Xenopus tropicalis: one gene and its partners. The protein of the gene in region 5 interacts with the protein of the main gene of each other region in a pairwise test. Links are inferred from orthologs where the notes say so. Each region holds a gene or a part of one and is shown on either strand. Other genes may lie near its edges. The genes, in order: bcar3, tle5, lnx1, capn3 and osgin1.

Region 1 (4,200 bases), about 56 Mb from region 5:
TAGTCATTTAAGCAATTCAATCAAAATGCAATTAAAGCCAGGTTTACTAGGCATGTAAGTGTACCTATCTCCATCTAATAGAATAATTTTAGATTAAAAGAAACTCTTACATTATATACTCACCTCACTCAGTGCTGGGCCAAGCCAGGGTGTGGAATGGAGTGATGAGCAGGTGGTGGGGAGCTGGCGACATGGATACTGTGCAGAGTTGCTGTTTGACAGTGAAGAGTGGTCAATAAAAAGCATGGAATTCAGACCCGCAACAAATCGCTCTTTTCGCGGGTGACTAATCTCCCCGAATTGGCATTCCACCGGCGAAAATTGAAATCGCGGGTGGGATGGCATACGCCGTGCCGCAATTTCAACTAATTCGCGGAAGTTTGTCGCGGGCGACTAATCTCCCTGTGTGCCAGAGCCCTTAAGGTCAGCGGCTTATCTGCCAGTGCATGGGGCCCTCAGATGTTGATCGGGCAGGTTTAAAAACCCATTGGGAGAAGAAATGCATTGGCACATTAAAGTGGGCCTCATGCCGACAGCCTGTAACCTATCGATGTCAGCCGATGGATCAGCCGAAGGACTAAATAAGTGAAAAGGCTAGATGAGAATAGAGATAGCACTCACCCTACCAGTAAAGATGAATATGATAAGAAGGCAATGTTTTTTACAGACTGACATAGTAAAAAAAATTCTTATTCATTAACCCAAGAACATCAAAACTTTTATTGCAAAGTTAGTACACTATACCTGGTCACCATTACCCAGCTGATGGCAGAAACCTCTATGGCATTTAAGTGAAGTGCAAATAGTACAGTAGTTCCCTTTTCTGAATGAATGAGTGCTACACCTCTCAGTGCTATTTGGAAATGAGCCTGCTGGTTAAACACTGCCTATTTGCAAGCTGTTAGCAGGCCGCTGCAGCAGTGCCCAGGGCTTTGAGTTTCAGCTCCTTACCGTCCACTAACACGGTTTTTCTAATTAAAAGTAAACAGTGCAAGATTTCCCCCCCTTTATCTCAGCGCAACAGAAGCAGATTGCCATTTAGAGGAATCAATTATCAGCCTGCTTCCACATTCTCCAAATAAACTGCTCACACTGGAGAGTGTGGGATTTGTGAGTCAAGGTTAATAGTAGGTAGGGCTTTGGCATTTACCTCTAGTGAGGCTAGAGGCTGTAGGAAATATTGCTGGTGACAGAGAGCATGGTGCATGAGGTATGTGAGGAGCAGAGAGATGTCTAATATTTTGTATACAGAAATAAATCCCTTAGGGAGACCAGCTAGTAAGGGCTTCTCAGATGGTTAGAATTTCATTGGAGAGCTGAAGGGGTCACATGAGACTTGCAGCACTCTATACATGGAGGCTGTGTGACTGCATGCCAGAATTCACTGAGTTCACAGTCACAGCCCCATCCGAGCAAACAGCCCCAGCCAAATGTCACAGTGCAAGGCAGATTGTAGGATCACAGGGACAATGTAGGATCACAGCGCAAATTGGAACTTTGCAGTGAATGAAGGCATTATCGTGGGAACAGCCAAAGGTTTTGTGCTGTAATCCTTTAAGTGCTTAATAACCTCCCCTCGAAAGCTTTGAAAATGTCTAAGGATTGTTTCTGTAATTTCTTTGAGACTTTAACATCAGCCCTGTGCTGTTTCTACCATCGGAAATCCGTCATTGTGGTGAAGGTGAGTGTTCTGTTACGTGAATGTATGCTTAGACTCAGTGCAGGGTGGCCTGCCTTCTCTTTGTAACATGTATGTGTGGCATTAGTGTCTCATTTGCTCAAACTGTAGACATTGACCCTCCAGCTGTTGCTGGACTACTGATCTTGTATCTTCCAACAGGCATTAGATGTTTAAGTCTGTCATACACAAGTATTTAATCCTGGGTCTCTAATCATATTTAGAAAAAGAACATGCAACTCTAGAACTTAGAGATGCCAGTAGAGATGCTTGGAGCCGTAGTTTCCCAACCACGGTTGCCTATACTTAGTGTCTGATCTGTTCATTGGTGCATTTGATGAATGTATACACCTTATTGTGTATTGTTGTAATTAAAAATTTGCTGCAAACAGCCCTTTCCTAAGGATTCTGGGTTTGCTTTCAGTTTGAGGCTGGGTTATTTAAAAATGGTTATTTAATATAAAGAAGTCTTTGGAACACGTGAGCAGCCATAATATCCCTTGGAGGTCCACGCCTAGCCCTTGCGCCTCCATTTTGACAGCCTTGCTCTGGAATATAATATATACATTGAGGAACTTTGTGTTCACAGAAGTTGTCACTGTATAGTCCATTTTTTGCTTTTGTATTGTTCCCATAAGTTTAGTGCCTTTTTGTTTATAATTGTTGAAATGCCTTAATATGAAATACATACACAAGTAAGACTTTTCAACAAAGTTTGATTTTACTGCAGGGAATTTATAAGGTTTCAGTGCATATTTTTATCATTTTTGTCTTTTTCCAAGAATCATTCAGAGCAAGTGTCTGTAAAATACAAGTCATTCATCCAAATACTTCTTAGAATACTTTTCTCCTCACCATGTGCAGAGGAAGCCATCAGTGGATCTCTGCTTGTTGTGAACTCTAACTTCCAATACTCTAACCTGCTGTTGCTCAAAAACAGCTCAATTACATCAGGGTAAAGGCAACGCTAATTTACTGCTTCATACAGCCAGGAGATACTATACATTGTGTTCAGATATATTGATGGTGGGCCCTGTGCTTATTAAGGTGTGCAACACAGATCCCTATATCTAAGGGAAAGAATGTAACTTCACCAGTGATGCAGGTCTAGCATTCCTAAGTTAGCCAAATGACCTTAATTAACCCTCAACCCTCATTTACCTTAATGGTAAAACCATTACAATACTAGTACAGGTATGGGATCTGTTATCTGGAAACCTGTTATCCAGAAAGTTCCAAATTACGGAATGGTCTTGTCCCATAGACTCAATTATAAGCAAATAATTCTAATTTTTGAAAATGGTTCCCTTTTTTCCTGTACTTAAAAAAAAAAAAACAGTTTGGATTAAAGGTGGCCATACACGAGGCGATTTCGCTCGTTGTGCGATGAACGATTATATCGACAAACGATCGTATGGCGATCGAGTTCCCATACGATATGCCATCCACGGGCAACGATAATTCGGGAAAGATTTTGTCGCATCATTATCGTAAAATACCTACGATCGTACATCTACGTACGATCGATGTCGTTGACTTCCGCTGCTGGCAATCGTGACATGCGCAGAGAACAATCGTTGAAAGACAAATGTCTGACACTCACACCAACTGGCAGATTTTATCGTTAAACGACCAAAATTTTTAAACCTGGTCGATCGATTTTGGGGACGATAATGTCGGCTCGTTTAGTGGGCCGACGATCGTTCGTACACCACCAACTATACGATAACTTAACGATAGCATCGGATCGTTCGGGAATCGGTCGTTTGTAAGTAAAAAATCGGTCCGTGTATGGCCACCTTAAGTACAAGGTACTAAGATATAATCAGTCCTTATTGGAGGCAAAACAAACGTATTGGGCTTATTCAATATCTGAACGATTTTTTAGCAAACTTAAGGTATGGAGATCCAAAATTTTTAAAGATCCTTTATTCGGGAAAACCCCAGGTCCCAAGCATTTTTGATAATAGGTCCTATACCTCTACTAGTGCTTTAAAGCACTTTTTTAGGCCGAAAAGTGCCAGCACTGGTGCTGTTTCCCACTCATATTTATGGTAGGTACCTCTTTGCTGGATGCCAGTGTCACCTTCACGTCTTATTGTACAATGCTTTGCTACATGTTTGTATTGGTCTTGTTCTTATTTGCACATATTGATAATATCAGTATGCATTTTAAATTAAATCTTCCATTTCATTTCTTTAATTATATTAACATATACACATTTACATATAAATCATGAAAAAAAAAATGTTTTTACACAATGTCCACAGCTGGACCCCATGCTCAAGGCATAGTCTAAGCATGCGTGTGTACATGGCCATACATGCACCGTTTCATATGACTTTTGGTACATGTGTAAAGAGTTCCTAATTATATACGGCACCCAGAATGTCATCACTGTATCCTAGTGCCATCTCCAGTTATATTAGTCTGTCTGAGATTGCTAATTGTTGGGCAGGTAATGAATAAAATAGTGCAATTAAAATGATATTATATAGCATCTCTTACAATACAACAGAAA
Region 2 (4,299 bases), on a different chromosome or scaffold from region 5:
TGCAGTTGGACAGTACAGGTATTCAGCTATCTGGAAATCTGTTATCCAGAAAACTCCGAACAACGGTAAGGTCATCTCTCATAGGCCCCATTTCCATTTTCTCTGTAATAATAAAACAGTACCTTGTACTTGATCCTAACAAAGACATAATTAATCTTTATTGGAGGCAAAACAACACTGTTGGGTTTATTTAATGTTTAAATTTTGCTTTAGTGAACTTAAGCTATGGAGATCCAAGTTACAGAAAGATCCCTTATCCAGAAAGCTTCAAGTCCCAAGCATTCTGGGTAACAGGTTCCATACTTGTACAGACTTAGCTGCTTATACTAAAAGAATAAGGGTTCTTAAACACTGGCATTTTAGTGTAGGGACCCAAATATCAGTATATCATGTTTAAGGGCCAGGTTATATTAAATTTATGTCAAACAAGTTAGCTACAGGTCATCATGTATGTGTCCTAACAATACTATGCCATAAAAAACATAAAATGTAGTGTTTGGCTAATGTCGCATGGAGCCAGTCAGTCACCTGCAATAGATTTCTGCTACCATGGCTGACTACTGTGCCAAAATGCCTTTCCACTGGCAAGCCAAAGCGATGCGTATAACTTTCCACTGGCGACTCCTAACTCCTATTGTTGCAGGTGGAAAGGCATTTCGGAACAGCTAGTTGCCTGTGGTAGCAAAGATCTATAGTGGGCGACTAACTGCACCATTAGCCTTAAGGTGGCCGTACAGGGGCTGATTAAAGCTGATGACTTGGTTCCTCCCGACCTAGTCGGCAGCTTATTGGCATGTGTAAATTCTAGATAACAATCGGCAGGCTTGAAAACCTCATCAGACAAAAGGTGCATTGGCGTGGCCCTCAGTGTCAAAATGAAGCAATTTCCTACCTGTGATACTGTGCCTGCAGCAGTTGAAATTCATCCTTAATTCTATCACATGAATCTGAGGTTGTGAATTTGAGTTGCTGGGGCAAATGCGAAGAGCCCTAAGGAAAAAAAAATCATAATAGAAATTCCATGTGAAAACATTTGCAGCCTTAATGGAATCCACAGGACACTTGGCTAATTAGTGGTTAAATTAAAGGCATAGTATACCCCTTTAATGATCACCAGTCCATTGAGAAACCTCTGTATAATGAGCTACTCATTTCAGAGTCTAACAGGTTGCATCAAGGGGCAGGGAGGGGTTTATTTATACAAAGGGCTTCTCAGTGGACTAGTAATTTGTTTTGATTGTGTTCCCATGAGTCAGGAGGTAGAATAGGGTAAAAGAAGAGTTCTACAACAACTTTTGTCTTTGTTTGCCACCTCACCCCTTTACACCTAAATGGCTTATGCAATATGTATTATTATGTTAAGCTAAAAATACCTTTGGAAACATTAGCTGCCATATCAGTTAGATATCTGCTGGGCAGGTTTGAAAATATCATAAAATAAGGGCCACTTGGTTGTTTATACGCTCAGTTCCTAATCAACCAAGTATAGGCCCCTATAATGATCTGATCAGCGGCCATAAAGCCAAACAAACCTTGGTGGCCAAATCACAAGATAATTCACTTGTTTGCCGACTTCACCAAATGAGTGGATCTTTCAGTGTATGGAAGGCTTTAAGCACATAATACATGGCTGCAGCAAGCATAGTTATTACTAATAATTAGCTATTTCTGTTAAGTATATGTATCCCATTTCCAAGGGAGAAGGCAGCAACTAGAACACTGCTTGGTCATTATTTTGACAATTGGAGGCTCACTTTTCTGTGGTACAGTACATGATACATGAATATCTCAATTATGCACTGCCAATATGGTGAGGGCCACATTTGTCAGGCACCTCTGGTGATTACCTTGGACCCCAGGCTAATACTGCTCTTCACTAAAAAAAACACAGTGGCCAGGATACTATTTTAGGGTGCACCACCATCTTGCTTCCTTGCTGCTGCTCTGGGTCATGTGCAATACAGCAAAATATTTGGCTTGCAGCTTCAGTCCTGATTTTGCTCTATAGCATGTGCTCATTACCCAGGGCAGAAGTAAGAATTGCATGGACAGAAAGCAAGCTGGCAGCACTCCCTACAATAGTGCCCCAGGGCAGTGCAATTTTAAGCACAAAGGCAACTCCAATGGGGGGGATTGAGGCTAGTAATTATAATTATTGGGGAGGGGATGCCTACCATTGCCCCTTCCAGTAATTTCTTGTCCTTAACATGTATTTATAAAGAGGCAGCACATTGCACAGCAGTGTGTAATACTGGATATCACCTCGAAAATATAACAATGCTACCAGTGCTCTAGACGGCAAAGATGGATTCAACAGAATTCTGAAACTCTACTACAACACTAAGCCCTTTCGGCTCCTGCAACGGCAGGACTTCCTGCAACAAAAAAATCCTACCCCCATATTGCTTTTAGCGTCTCCAGCAGATGAACATGTTCTATACAAATATAACACACAATAATACAGTAGTACATTCAGTTCTACCCCTCGCCTTCTCACCGAGTGCCGGCTGCTGCTTTGAGGAAACATCATATCCCACCCGGCCCCGGTATGTACGGCGCTACGCACAGGCTCAGTATCCAAGGCCCGGCTTCCTGTGCGCTTTATCCAAGGGCTCAGTGCACTTTGGGAAGGCTTCGCTCTGCTTCTCAGCCGGCACTACTGCTTTGGGCCCAGATATGTGATCCGCAAACCCCAGATGATCTTCTGGCCGCTCTGTGTGCTGTCAACCAGGACCTCTACTGTCCCCTTGGCCTCGTCCCTTCTTGATCTCTAACCCGGTAATGCTCCCCCACCCCTGAGGCTACGGCCTGCCCTGCTTCACTACACGATCTCCTAGCTCTCTACCCACTCAGGAGCCTTTTGTTTAATGGCGTCTGTGCTTAAGCAGATATATGGCTCCCTCTACAGGTCACAGTTTCAATGATTCAATTTCCCATGTAAGGATCCCTTGTCCTTTTAGCTGATTTTAAAATTCCTGAAAAAATGAAAGCTTATCAGTTACATTCAATGAACCCTGCTATACAGACCTCAGTGGGAGCATCATTTCGCTAATTTTTAGAGGCTGCCTTATTTTAATCTCCCTTAAGAATATTTTTTGTCTCTGTATATATCTAAGGCTTTTACAACAATCATCTGAACTGAAGTAATTCAATTTTTACCAGTGGTGAAAGTAGATGTTACTAAGCCCTCAACATATTCATTAAAGGGGCACCCAAAATTTCTGGAGAAATTGTTTAGTAATTATGGCCCCACTGGGCCCTCAACATTTCTGGCCTGCTACAAACTCCTGGCTGCACAGATTTTGCTTCCAGACACTCACACATGATGTTCAGTTCTTGGTAATTATGGGGTGCAAAAGATAAGACACTGATGGCCTCGTTTACTAAGGGCCTACAGCACCATGTTGTTCAACCTTCACACCAATGCACTGAGCATTTGCATCTGATCAGTTTATGTTTAGATGAACACGGTTTCCCAATGGCACACTGGTGTAACAATGCAAAATGCTGACAAAAACATGGAGCCTTGCAGAATGACATCTAAGGCTAATGTCCCATGGAGCAAGTTAGTCGCCCGCGATAGATCTCGCTACCGCGGACGACTAAGTGCTCCAAAATGCCTTTCCACTGGCAACTATAGGAGTCGCTGGTGGAAAGGCCTACGCATCGCTTTGGCTTTCCCAATTCGCACAAAGTTTCCTCCTGCAGGCAACTTTGGAAAGCCGAAGCAATGCATAGGCCTTTCCATCGACTCCGATTGTTGCCACTGGAAAGGCATTTCAGAGTGATTAGTTGCCCGCAGTAGCAGAGATCTACAGCGGACAACTAACTTGCTCTTTGGGCCATCAGCCTTAAATGAACCAAATTATTTAACTAAAACAACTGTCTCACTGTAAATGTGATTTTGGGCCACAGTAAAAATCTCAACTTAATCAAGAAAAGTTTAAAGTAATAGGACAGCAAACAATACAGTACTAAATTCCTCTCTGCACCTCAGACTTATTTAGGCATTATTACAATATAGTTCTATATTGGACCATCATTTAGTCAAGAGGAAAAGGCTCAGGTTTTTTGAGAGATGAGAATCAACCAAACTCTAGCTTCCTGAAGCACTCAATTTAATGGTTGCACACAAAAAGTTGAGATTGTATCTGTTTTTTTTTAATCTGGTTTAATAAATGCTAGCTATATCCTACAATATCCAGTGTTTATAATAGTATCAGTTTATGCTATTGTGCTGACTTTGCCTTGTTGTTTTTTCACACCACAGTCACTCTGCTAATTAATCATTGGTCTGTA
Region 3 (3,518 bases), on a different chromosome or scaffold from region 5:
ATTAGTTCTGATCAATAGTTAAATGTAGTCATAACAAAGGTCTGGTTGCCACAGGTTGCTGCGCTGGTATAAAGTTCCACATACAATATCTTGAATCCTCCCTATCCAGCCTCAATGACCATTTTATTATAGACTTTCTGCCCTCCAGCTGCAGTTACAATACAACTTCCATCATCCCCTACTATCAGAGGTGGGGTCTGTTGACGTATAACAACTGATGGAGGACAGATGTTTGGAATTCCCTTTGCTTTGCTTTTTACAATCACAAAGATGCTCCTAATGACAAGTGAAACTGTACTGAATGCAGGAATGCAAGTTTGGGCAATTTCCAGCTAATACCATTATAACCTAACAGAAACCTGCATGTTAAGGCAAGTCTAAAACTTCTGCCAAAACATCTATAGATCAGAAACTTGGCTTTAAGGGAACGGTATCTTCCCCCGAGGGGTCGGTGGCATGTTAATTAGACTTAATTATTCCATGAACTTAATTCTTTTTTCACGTTGCTAACTATAGAATTAAACCATAGAATGTGCCTGTGCAATATCATTGCCCATGCTCTGTTACATGTATGACCCACAAGAGCAGTTGTGGTTGTGCTGTTGTTGCATGAATATACAACATTCCATAAAGGTGCGTACATCTAAAGTGTCTAAAGCGGCCTCTTGAACTCTCACATAGTTGCACTAAATGCTGTTGGTTATACCTCCTATTGTAAGTTACACACAGTGTGCCTATTGATGCAGGGGAACCAGTGGTGTAAATACTCTGCACTGGACCCCCTGCAAAAAAAAATTCAGAGGGGCTTGGTAGCAAACTCTACATGCCCCTCCCCCCCACAGGAGTTCCCCCGCCCACTTGCAAATTTGGAGACGTCCTCCTGAAATCGCACACTGCACTTGCAGTCATAAATGAGCCCCTATAATTCCTGGCAATGTATTAACTGATTTAATCTGGCTATTTTTATGTAACATTTCATGTTTTCTTAAGCACACCTCATAATGATACTTAACTGCTGTCATTAATGGGTGAATGATCTTATTTTATTACACTTCAATAATATGGTTTTATAATTTACAAATTCGCCAAAAAATATGTTTTCAAGTGGTTGTTATTGCTTGCATCTGTAAAAGTACATATATGTCATGGGCTTTCCCTAAACAGATTGGTGTTACAAAAGGATGGAAGTCTCTATGAAGGAATAGTAGCTAGTATAAAACTAGTACCCATGGGTGTGGCGGCAAGTCGTATATTTAACAGGAAATGATCCTCCCTAAACAAGCAGATATAAAATAATATTGCTTATCAAAAAGGAGGTCAAATATTTTTCAGGTTAGAGCAAATAAATACATTCATAGGAAATGTTCTGCCCATAATAGATTTTTTTGATTGGTCCCTATTTGTACAATAATCACTTATCCAAACCAGTGTATATTGTATACTTTGTGTTTATAATGAATTGCACTTTCTATCTCAAGACTTCTTTGTTCCTCTCAAAGGCGCTTTCAGAACACTTTACAGGAGTCACCCTTGTTTTGTGAAATAAGAGACATGAGATGTCTCCGTAAATGACTTTAGCTCTTGTATCGAGGGCAGGTTGAGACTGGCATGAAGATGGATCTATTCTTGTCTATCTGATGGAATGGATATTTACTTTAGTGCAAGGAATGTTACAGAATAATAAATATCCAGGGGCATTCATTTAAGCAGCCAGCATGAGGTAACACCCACATTCTCGATAAATGTAGTGCACCTTCATTATTTAATACTGTCATAAACACCAATTTGTACCTACAAACTTGTCTTAATATGAAATTGTGATTTGTGATTCCAGTAAATGGTACAACCCTGTTTCCAAAAAAGTAAAAATGTAAATGAAAAATGTAAATGAAAAGATACTGCAATACTTTGCAAATTATGTAAACCCTATATTTAATTGCAGATAGTACAAAGGTAACATATTAAATATTAAAACTTGTTATTGTTTTCTTTCTTATGATTGTTTTGGATGGGTGACAGGTCTGGGCTGCAGGCAGATAGGCAGTTTATCACCCAGAATCTCTTACTTGTTGTAAAGCCATGCAGAATGCAGTTCGGCACTGTCTTGCTGAAGTAAGTATGGCCTTCCCTGAAAAAGACGCTGTCTAGATGGCAGCATACAGTATGTTGCTCCAAAACCTCCAGCTTTAATGGTGCCTTCCCAGATGTGCAAGCCACCCATGCCACCACAGATGCTGCCTATTGATAACAAGCCATATGAGCTACCTTCTACTCTTAAGTATCTTTTTAATACTGTAAATGTTTAAATCCCCTACTTTTTATGCAACAATTTACCTTACATGTCTAAATGCGTATTATATAGTTTGTATTGATTTCAGAAGCAAGAGCATTAATAATCATCCCTTACTCCACAAACACCCCTGTCAAAATGTATGGCCAGTTATTCTTGTCCAGCCCTCTCAGGGAGTGATTTATTGTACTATTCCACAGATATGGGTAATATTTCTCTCTTTCTATCCCATTAAACAGGTATGTAATATATGGAATATTTGTAACCTGGTATTTTTCATTATAAAGGGGTCTTTCACGAATGTGGGACACGATGCATTATGGCTACTAAAACATTTCAACTGTAAAAGGGATTATTTTGCATCAACATAGATATATCATAATTTAATAAAAATCATGTACAAGGGCCTTTTTTATTATTAAGATATACAAAACTTATTTAGGCTATAGGCACTAATGTGTTTTGTTGTCTGTATTAACGCCATACAGGTTTGTGTGATCAAGATTGGGACTGAAATCTCCTTGCTCTGCACCCTACATTATGGAGTCAAATGATGCAATTGAAGAACTGGACAATGAAAAACCCCAATCACTGTGTACTGTATGTGGTCAACTGCATTCAGAAGAGGAGAACCATTCTTATACATACACTGAGGAAGTGGATGATGATTTGCTGTGCAATATCTGCTTGCATGCCCTCATACAACCGCTAGACACTCCATGTGGCCATACCTACTGTACTCTCTGCCTCACTAGCTTTCTAGTCCATGAAGACTTTTGCCCTGTGGATCGTAAGCATATTTTGTTGCAGACTTGCAAGAAATCCACCATACTTGTAAAAAATCTTTTAGATAAACTTCCAGTCATCTGCCCATTTAAGGAACACTGTACAGATATTGTTCAACGGTGTGACCTTGAGGAACACTTCCAGAACAGGTATGTTCCTTCTCTATGTCTATGTTATGGTAAATCTGTTTTCCAAGTCACTTATAACATTGTGTTTGTTCTAGTTCTATGACTATGCAACTGATTGTTGTTGCTGTTGAATTAATCTCCATTATTCTGAATTGGTGAGCATCTATGCATTTACAATAGTGCTGCCTTTGGTACAGGTTATAATTTTGTCCAGGTGTCTAGATTAGAAACCTCTAGTGCAAGAATCCCCAACCTTTTTTTACTTGTGAGCCACACTCAGATATAAAACGTGTTGGTGAGCCACACAAGCATGA
Region 4 (3,518 bases), on a different chromosome or scaffold from region 5:
GGGTCTTTTCCATAAAAACGATCTTTATTGTAATATTGTTGCCATCTTATCAACGTTTCGGCTCTGGCCTAGAGCCTTTTTCAAGATAAAGGCTCTAGGCCAGAGCCGAAACGTTGATAAGATGGCAACAATATTACAATAAAGATCGTTTTTATGGAAAAGACCCTGGAGTGCACTCGCAGTAATCTTTTTGGAAATATATATATAAATATTCTGTACAGATATGACATAAAGATATAAAAAAAAAGGAAATAGCTGCAAATAACGGAAGATCAAAGTTTCAACTGATGACAACCTGTGCACATTTTATAAGAAAATTGTATGGGTTATTCATGGCATTCTTATATTAATACAGAAAAATACAGTTTGAGACCCTCAGGTGTTTTCTTTCACCTTTGTATCGTCTTTGAGGTCATTTTTCATTAACATCCTTCTTTACCTGCATGACTTATAAAACATTTGGGGGCTGTCATGCTCGTTCCACATTATTATATACTTGGAGAGACATATCACCCTTCCACAAGTGTTCTCGCTGTTATGTCACGGTATATCATTTTGAAATTACAATTTTGATTATTTTCTCCTTGTATACATTTTCCTAGGATGTCTTATGATGATTTTATGAAGAATTTCACCAAGGCTGAAATCTGCAATCTGACACCAGATGCACTGGATTCGGACTCACTCCAAGTATGGACAGTGTCTGTAAATGAAGGGAGATGGGTCAGGGGTTGCTCAGCAGGAGGCTGTCGCAATTATCCAGGTACTAAACTAGCTGAAGAAGAAGAATAAGGCATCAGCTTCCTGTCATGGTTATGTTGCCTATACTGTAGGTGTTAACGTTGCATCCTGGATACATTTAACGGTGTTGGTCTAAATAATACTATCAATAACCTCCCAAGGCTAATGATGCAAAATATTTTACACACTTAAATATCTTGCTATATACTATAAGTGCATCAACTTGTATGGATCTGTAGCCATATCACACCTTGCTTGCTGGGGGGTTCCAAAGGTGGAGTTTTGTAAAAATGGAGCAAAATCGTCATAAAAAGAAGCAATGTCACCATAACATTTTGATTTTAAAAAATGCGAAGGTGGGCATTGTAAAAATCTGATTGGAGTTAAGATGTTTGTAAATTTGGATAGCTGATGAATGTGTTATTCCAGTTTCAGGCTAAATCCAAATTTCCAGCTAGTTTTAGGGTAGAGAGAGATACTCGGGCTTATTTATGACCGCAAGTAAGTTGTTGTCCCCGCTATTTCCCCACAGTCAGTTACACTTAAAACGACTTTCATTAAAGTTACTTGCGTCAAGATGCACTCCCTGCACCTCCATATACATAAACTTGGCACAGCTCAGCCATTTTGCCTTCCTTGAATTGCACACCGAACACTGGAAACGAGGTTTTGTACGATATCATCGGTGTGTGTATGGCCAGCTTAAGAGGCATCTATTTATATTTGAAGCATTATAGAATAACTTCACAAACACTGCGGCTCATTTATCAACATTCTCATTCATGGTTTTAGAGGTTTCTGAAACCCCATTTTTATGAATGTCAGTCATTTATCAAAAGATCCAAACTTTTAAAAACCCTCAAACTTCCTAATTTTCTAAGCCTTTATCTAGCATGTTACCAATGGACCGGCACATACAACCTAGATTCCAGTACTCAGTGGTAATTGTAGGACTGTAACTGATGTATGAAGTAGGGAAGTTAGGGGTCACATTTAAGCTTATGTCTTGGAGAATGGAATTTTTAGTATTCATTGTTGTGAGTCTATGGACAGATCATGTCAGCACATTTCCTTATTTATTAGATTTAGGAATTGGGACAGAGGTGTTACAGTAGAGGTGGTCTTCCTTTTGCCAATGCTTGTGATACAGCACCATATAAATAGCTGCTCATGAGGATGTGGCACCGTTACCAAGAAAATGTATATAATGACATGAATGTATCCATACCATTGCAGACACCTACTGGACCAACCCTCAGTATCGTCTTAAGCTGCTGGAGGAGGATGATGACCCTGCTGACAATGAGGTTGTCTGTAGTTTTGTTGTTGCTTTAATGCAGAAGAATCGAAGGAAAGATCGAAAGGCAGGAGCCAATCTTTTCACCATTGGTTTTGCAATATATGAGGTAACTGAATTGTAGCTGAGCTCTAACGTTCTCTATATGATGTCAAACAGTACCTTATAATAGCAAGTTATTCGGCACAAGGTGTAGAGTTCAGCCAGATCCATGGCAGAAGTGCTCTGAATGAGCAATAAGGGGCGTGCTCTTGCACTTCTACCCAAGGTCTTAGTAAATTGCCCACAGGGCTGCCATTGGGGGGAGATGGGGTACTATTGTGCCTGGCCCTGAGAAATCTTCTTCCTTAAGGCACCCAGTCACTTCACAAAAGTTGCGCAAGTTACGCATAAAGTTATGCCAAAACACAATTATGCAATTTACGTGACTTCTGCAAAAACTACAAAACCTGCCTAGTAACTTGCGAATCAAGCAAAAGCCAATGCAGAAGCTTTGCAGGGACAAACTCCACTGACCCCCAATGAATTAAAAAACTTAAGGAAAATTCCACTGCCCCCAATAAACTGACTGACTTATTAGCACATTGATTATCACTTTAACTATTTATATGGATTGCTTATTATAACGTAAAATCAGCTGTTTATATTGGGATCTATTAACTGAATTATATGAGTTAATGAACTTTGCAGCAGGGGAATAACTGGTTATTGGGCCCCACAGCAACATCATTGGCCCCTAAACTTACGCAGTTTAAATAACTTATGCAAAAACATATGTAACTTCAATATCAAGCAATGACAGCACAGAACAGGGGTAGGTAGGTGGGAAGGGGTTAAACTTGGGGCAAACTCAACTGACCCCCTATGAACTGACTGAATTATGAGCAAATTAATCAATTGAACTTTTTATATGCACTGCTTATTATAGAGTAACATAAGTTGTTTATATATTTACACAAGGGGCATTGCCATAATTTTGGTACTGCGTGCTTGTGTTAATGGGGGGACCCATATGAATAACTTGTGTTGGGCCCCAAAGTTTCTGATGGTGGCCCTGATTGCCCGTACAGACTATTGACTTTATCTAGCTCTATTTTTGTATTGTTCTTCCTGACTTTATTCTTACAAATTATATTTAACAATTATTTTATTTTTCATTTTAAGGTTCCAAAAGAGGTATGATGTGTAAGGATGGGTAATGAAGAACTGCTTGCTGATTTGTTTGTGGCTTTGTGATCCTGTTGGAACATCTTCAGTTGGGTTTGTTTGCTGTGTTACTTCTAACTTTCTGGGCATGAGTGACTAAAGGGTTCCTTTTGGGGCAGGAGTAGGCCCTGAGGGTAGGGCAAGCAGGTGGGAACCTTGGACAACGTGTTGACATTAACGTACATAGAAGTACTTAATGTACTGCTTTCCCACCCAATAATAATTCCCCAAAGTGAAATACAGTAATTATATTCAAAATGGCTGCTTCCCCACT
Region 5 (4,307 bases):
CTGTTTACACTGGAGAAGAGGATTTTTTACTGTGAGAGCTTGTGAGGTTGTGGAATTCCCTCCCCGAATCAGTTGTGCTGGCTGATACATTATATAGCTTTAAGAAGGGGCTGGATGGATTCTTAGCAAGTGAGGGAATACAGGGTTATGGGAGATAGCTCTTAGTACAAGTTGATCCAGGGACTGGTCCGATTGCCATCTTGGAGTCAGGAAGGAATTTTTTCCCCTCTGCGGCAAATTAGAGAGGCTTCAGATGGGGTTTTTTGCCTTCCTCTGGATCAACTAGTAGTTAGGCAGGTTATATATAGGCATTATGGTTGAAAGTGATGGACGTATATCTTTTTTCAACCCAACTTACTACGTTACTATGTAACTACCTTGTCTAAATAAACCTTTTTAATAAAAAAAATTTACTTTTATAGAAATATGTGGCATTGCACATTTTTTCAAGTACCGTTTTAAGTGCCATTTTAAGTACTAAGGGCTTTCCCTTGGCTCATATGATTCACTAATCAAAGGCACACATACATACCAGGTTACAATAACCAGTGAATGGACAGAGCTCTTCTACTACTTTATGTCAATTTTACTCCTACACTTCTTCTTGTCAGAGTTAGTTCCCTGTCAGGTTGGCTTCTCCATCACAGTCTGGGTATGGATCCCCTTAGTTTACAGATTTATTAAAAAAACATGGCCCGAGCACACACTTGCCATCATTTGCAAAGTCCCTGGACAGATGCGCACATGACTGCACTCCTTAATGCTCAATCACTGAAAATCTAGGGCAGTATTGTGTGGAAGATATCAGATTCTAATGCATTCCTGGTGACTACCAAATCATACTAAAGTACTACTGACTGGCCACGAATGTTGGGTTGTGTGTGACACCGAGTAAAAACAAGAGGAAAGGCTTGTCTGTTACTGTATAACAACCAGCAAGACAGCAGGGCCGGGTGTGAAGAATGCGATCAAGCTGTGTTAAACCCACACCAAATATTTCTAATTACTAATAAAGAAGTATTTGGGTATATACATTGAATGCACAGAATTTCATCGAACAGTGATGTGGTTGAATACATTCACATTCCCACAAGTCATTCTCATCTCTTCTATAAACTTTTGCAAGTGAAAAGAATCCAGTTACCCTGGTTTACTCCTTGACATATTTTTTCATTTTTTTCTGTGCATTATATCAGTGTCATGAACTTTCTTACATAACTCATAACAACATGCATGCACTGTTATGGGGCATGTATTTTACTCGGAAATACAGCAGTTACTTTTGTATATATGTAACATAGATTTTCTTACTTACAAAGGTTCTGTAGGCAAAAAATGGACACAAAGCCCCATGTATTTTGTTTACTATGCACCTGACCCATGCATTTTGCCTCATGCTTTTAGTAGTTGCTTCTATCTTTGTACGCACTACAGTTTGTGCCCGCTCTTTCTGTTAAAATATGGCCTGCTGGTTAGGATTTTCTATTCTCATAAACTTTAGCCTTCCTGATATAATTCCAATGTAGGGCCACAATTCATTCTGTGAGAAAATGTTATGATTTATCATGTGAAAATTTACAGGCAAGATTACATTTGAGCAGAGAAAGCATTTCTCCTGCTTCAGTTTAATTTTTTTCTATAGATTTCAACAGAATTTTTATGTGATGAAGAGTGAGATACATTTTTCTACTTGAATTTCATCTGGCTCTTTGGGAAGATCTGCAATTGTATCAGGATATAAGCTTTTCTCATCAAATTGAATCTGGCCCATAATAGGACATGTGAGGTATAAATTATAACGTACCCACATCTACTGCAATGGTTTATATACTTTTTTATGGTCATGCACCCCTCTGAAGTCCAACATTTCATTATGGTCCTATTAGCTCAAAGTGACAACTATAGAAAACATACATATATCAGTGTTTTAGCAACAGGTCCAAGATTATATAAAATATTAAATAAGTGTTCACACCAAAATACACAGAAGTTAACAGAGTGGGGATTCCATTCTCCCCCCAACTTTCTTTACCAGACCTTCAAACTAGACCCCTAGTCCCTGCACCAGGGCGCCATAGGGGGCAGCCACACAATTATGGAATCATTGCTATACAGCATGATGAGCAATGCTATCTGTTCTATTTAGTATATGCTCTATAGCTCAGTGAGGATGAACATTCTCCCTGCCACTTGTAGTATATTGTAAAGTGATTATCCTACCTGTTTCCTGTAGTGAATACTATACACTACAGTTGCTGCATACCCTGAGAGGACAAACCAAATAGAACAGTAGATGTCCATTCTACTCTGTGTGGTACAAAATGTACAGTACAGTGAGCAATCAGTGCTCCATTTACAGTAGAACAAACAAAGAACAGTAATTTATTGTTCTAATCCTTTTATTAAATGAACTGTTAGCTTTACAAAGGCACCCTACCTGCTTCCTGTATTCCCTGGATATTACTGTGGGAATCAAGTTTACATAAAAGAATATAAAGGTTTCACTTTTGAAAACAGTTTCTATTTCACCAGTTTTACTTTAAATCCACTAGTTGACTCCTAGGCTGCCGCCCTAAATGTGAATTTTGTTTGTATATATTGTTTTTTGCTCCTCTGAGCACAGTTACAGTACTGGCTTATCACTAGGCAATTAGAACTGTGTAAGTACTATGCTATATTCAGTCCTCATGCTGCTTTCTTACCAGTGCAGAAGAAGTATCCAGTGGGCAACTGATATTCAGGCAGATGTCTGCTGCTAAAAAAAAACTTCAACCTTCTATGCATGTGCAGTGATCAGACTGGCTGGTTAAATAGAGCTGGGGACTGATAGTGTGAGAGGGAGGAGCTGCCCTGGGAAAGAAATGAATTTTAAAGCATAAGCATGAGTCAGCAGGACAGCTTATGAATGAATCAAGCTGCAGTGACATAACCACCATTACAAGACTGCCACTGCTGTAAAGCATAGCCAGAGAGCCAGAGGAGGGGAGGAAGGCAGGTTGGCAGGCTGACCAAGGGGTGAACCACTATGGATAGTTTGTACTGGTGGCTAGCAGACAAGTAGATACAGACAGAAAGTGACAGATGGTAGAGGAGAGAACATCCTGTGAGAAGAATTAAAACTTGGAAAGGGAAATAATCATATCATCAGGGATGAAAGTGCAAGACCTCATTCACTCTAGCATTTTGTCTTCCCCCTACCAAATGTCTGACCATTAGTTCTATTAAGATTCAGTCTAATTTAGTTGACTTGAACTTTTCATTTTAAACAAAAAATGATACACAAAACTGCAATGTGGAAAAATCTGTTTGCCTTGGCAGAAGGCAAACTGTAAAATTTGCAGCATGGTACAACAAAAGCATCTGGCAGCCAGTAAAGATGATCTACTTTTGAATGGTGTAAAAGTTCAGTTCAGAAGCAAATTCAATTTCTGAAGTGCCAAGTGCCAAGATCTATACTAAACCCTGGGGGTCAAACTCCTACCCCTCTTTATTTAGCTGAAGTAGGACTTTGCTTCTTTCTTCACTTGCTTGACCCCTGCTTTACCCTAAAGTGAGTTTGTAGGAGTTAGTTAAATTACATTGCTAAGGTCCACTGTTACCCCATTCAATTCCTCCTTAATTCAGGTGAGAGCGTGTCATCTCATCTCCTTATCCAGTATCAGGTGACCAATGTCAAACTAAGTATTCTGGGCCCACTGGAGAACGTGACCTCAAGGGCCCCCACCACCACAGACCCACCACCACCACAGACCCACCACTACAGACCACCCCCCTGCTCTTGACACTATTCTGTCTTTCTCTATCTTGTGTAGCTAAGCCAAAGGTACCTACCAGGATTTCTCCAGTGAAATCGAATATGCATTACATTTACTAAATTTCTTTGTGCCCTATCCCATAGAGGAGCATAAGTCTGTTATCTTCGTAGATTTCTTAAGAACTCCCTGCTCCGCATATTCAGTCCATGCACTGTTAATCTATGGAAAAACATTTACATATAGTGTATGTTACTGTGCAGAGAAGGGAAATTGTGTATTTATAATATATTATTTATTTATTTACTTAACAGCAGTGTTTTATGTAAACATTAGTTTAATGTTATTGGGAGCAATGAATAACTTCAGACCTGTCTTTGGCACAAATTCTATTTCAGGCATTTAGAGAGCTGCTCAGTAACAATAGGCTTCTGCTCAGAAACAGTTCCATGTTGTGAGGCAAGGAGAAAAGGAAGGCAAGGATCTCCCTATTTAGAAACAGTAAAGGAATTGTTTCTGTACACCAACAGTTTATTACCACTAGGGATGCACCAA

What was found.
Region 1: the proteins of osgin1 (region 5) and bcar3 interact in binary tests that used the Homo sapiens proteins (3 or more experiments, as listed by UniProt). The link is inferred for Xenopus tropicalis from reciprocal best matches to the Homo sapiens genes OSGIN1 and BCAR3.
Region 2: the proteins of osgin1 (region 5) and tle5 interact in binary tests that used the Homo sapiens proteins (3 or more experiments, as listed by UniProt). The two-hybrid records come from large-scale screens. The link is inferred for Xenopus tropicalis from reciprocal best matches to the Homo sapiens genes OSGIN1 and TLE5.
Region 3: the proteins of osgin1 (region 5) and lnx1 interact in binary tests that used the Homo sapiens proteins (3 or more experiments, as listed by UniProt). The two-hybrid records come from large-scale screens. The link is inferred for Xenopus tropicalis from reciprocal best matches to the Homo sapiens genes OSGIN1 and LNX1.
Region 4: the proteins of osgin1 (region 5) and capn3 interact in binary tests that used the Homo sapiens proteins (3 or more experiments, as listed by UniProt). The two-hybrid records come from large-scale screens. The link is inferred for Xenopus tropicalis from reciprocal best matches to the Homo sapiens genes OSGIN1 and CAPN3.

What each region holds. Positions count from the first base shown.
Region 1 is NC_030680.2:103,985,232-103,989,431, forward strand, and holds the start of bcar3 (breast cancer anti-estrogen resistance protein 3), read left to right. Parts: upstream 1-1,388; 5' UTR 1,389-1,591; coding exon 1,592-1,681; intron 1,682-4,200. UniProt on the Homo sapiens protein: Acts as an adapter protein downstream of several growth factor receptors to promote cell proliferation, migration, and redistribution of actin fibers.
Region 2 is NC_030677.2:114,622,611-114,626,909, forward strand, and holds the start of tle5 (amino-terminal enhancer of split), read right to left. Parts: upstream 2,801-4,299; 5' UTR 2,531-2,800; coding exon 2,498-2,530; intron 991-2,497; coding exon 893-990; intron 1-892. UniProt on the Homo sapiens protein: Transcriptional corepressor. Acts as a dominant repressor towards other family members. Inhibits NF-kappa-B-regulated gene expression. May be required for the initiation and maintenance of the differentiated state.
Region 3 is NC_030677.2:39,804,326-39,807,843, reverse strand, and holds part of lnx1 (E3 ubiquitin-protein ligase LNX), read left to right. Parts: intron 1-2,090; exon of another isoform or gene 2,091-2,112; intron 2,113-2,778; 5' UTR 2,779-2,830; coding exon 2,831-3,225; intron 3,226-3,518.
Region 4 is NC_030684.2:109,270,537-109,274,054, forward strand, and holds part of capn3 (calpain-3), read left to right. Parts: intron 1-602; coding exon 603-763; intron 764-1,977; coding exon 1,978-2,147; intron 2,148-3,202; coding exon 3,203-3,214; intron 3,215-3,518. UniProt on the Homo sapiens protein: Calcium-regulated non-lysosomal thiol-protease. Proteolytically cleaves CTBP1 at 'His-409'. Mediates, with UTP25, the proteasome-independent degradation of p53/TP53.
Region 5 is NC_030680.2:47,894,413-47,898,719, reverse strand, and holds the start of osgin1 (oxidative stress-induced growth inhibitor 1), read right to left. Parts: upstream 2,811-4,307; 5' UTR 2,703-2,810; intron 1-2,702. UniProt on the Homo sapiens protein: Monooxygenase catalytic activity. Involved in regulation of cytokinesis; promotes RHOA activity, probably acting locally at the midbody in late cytokinesis.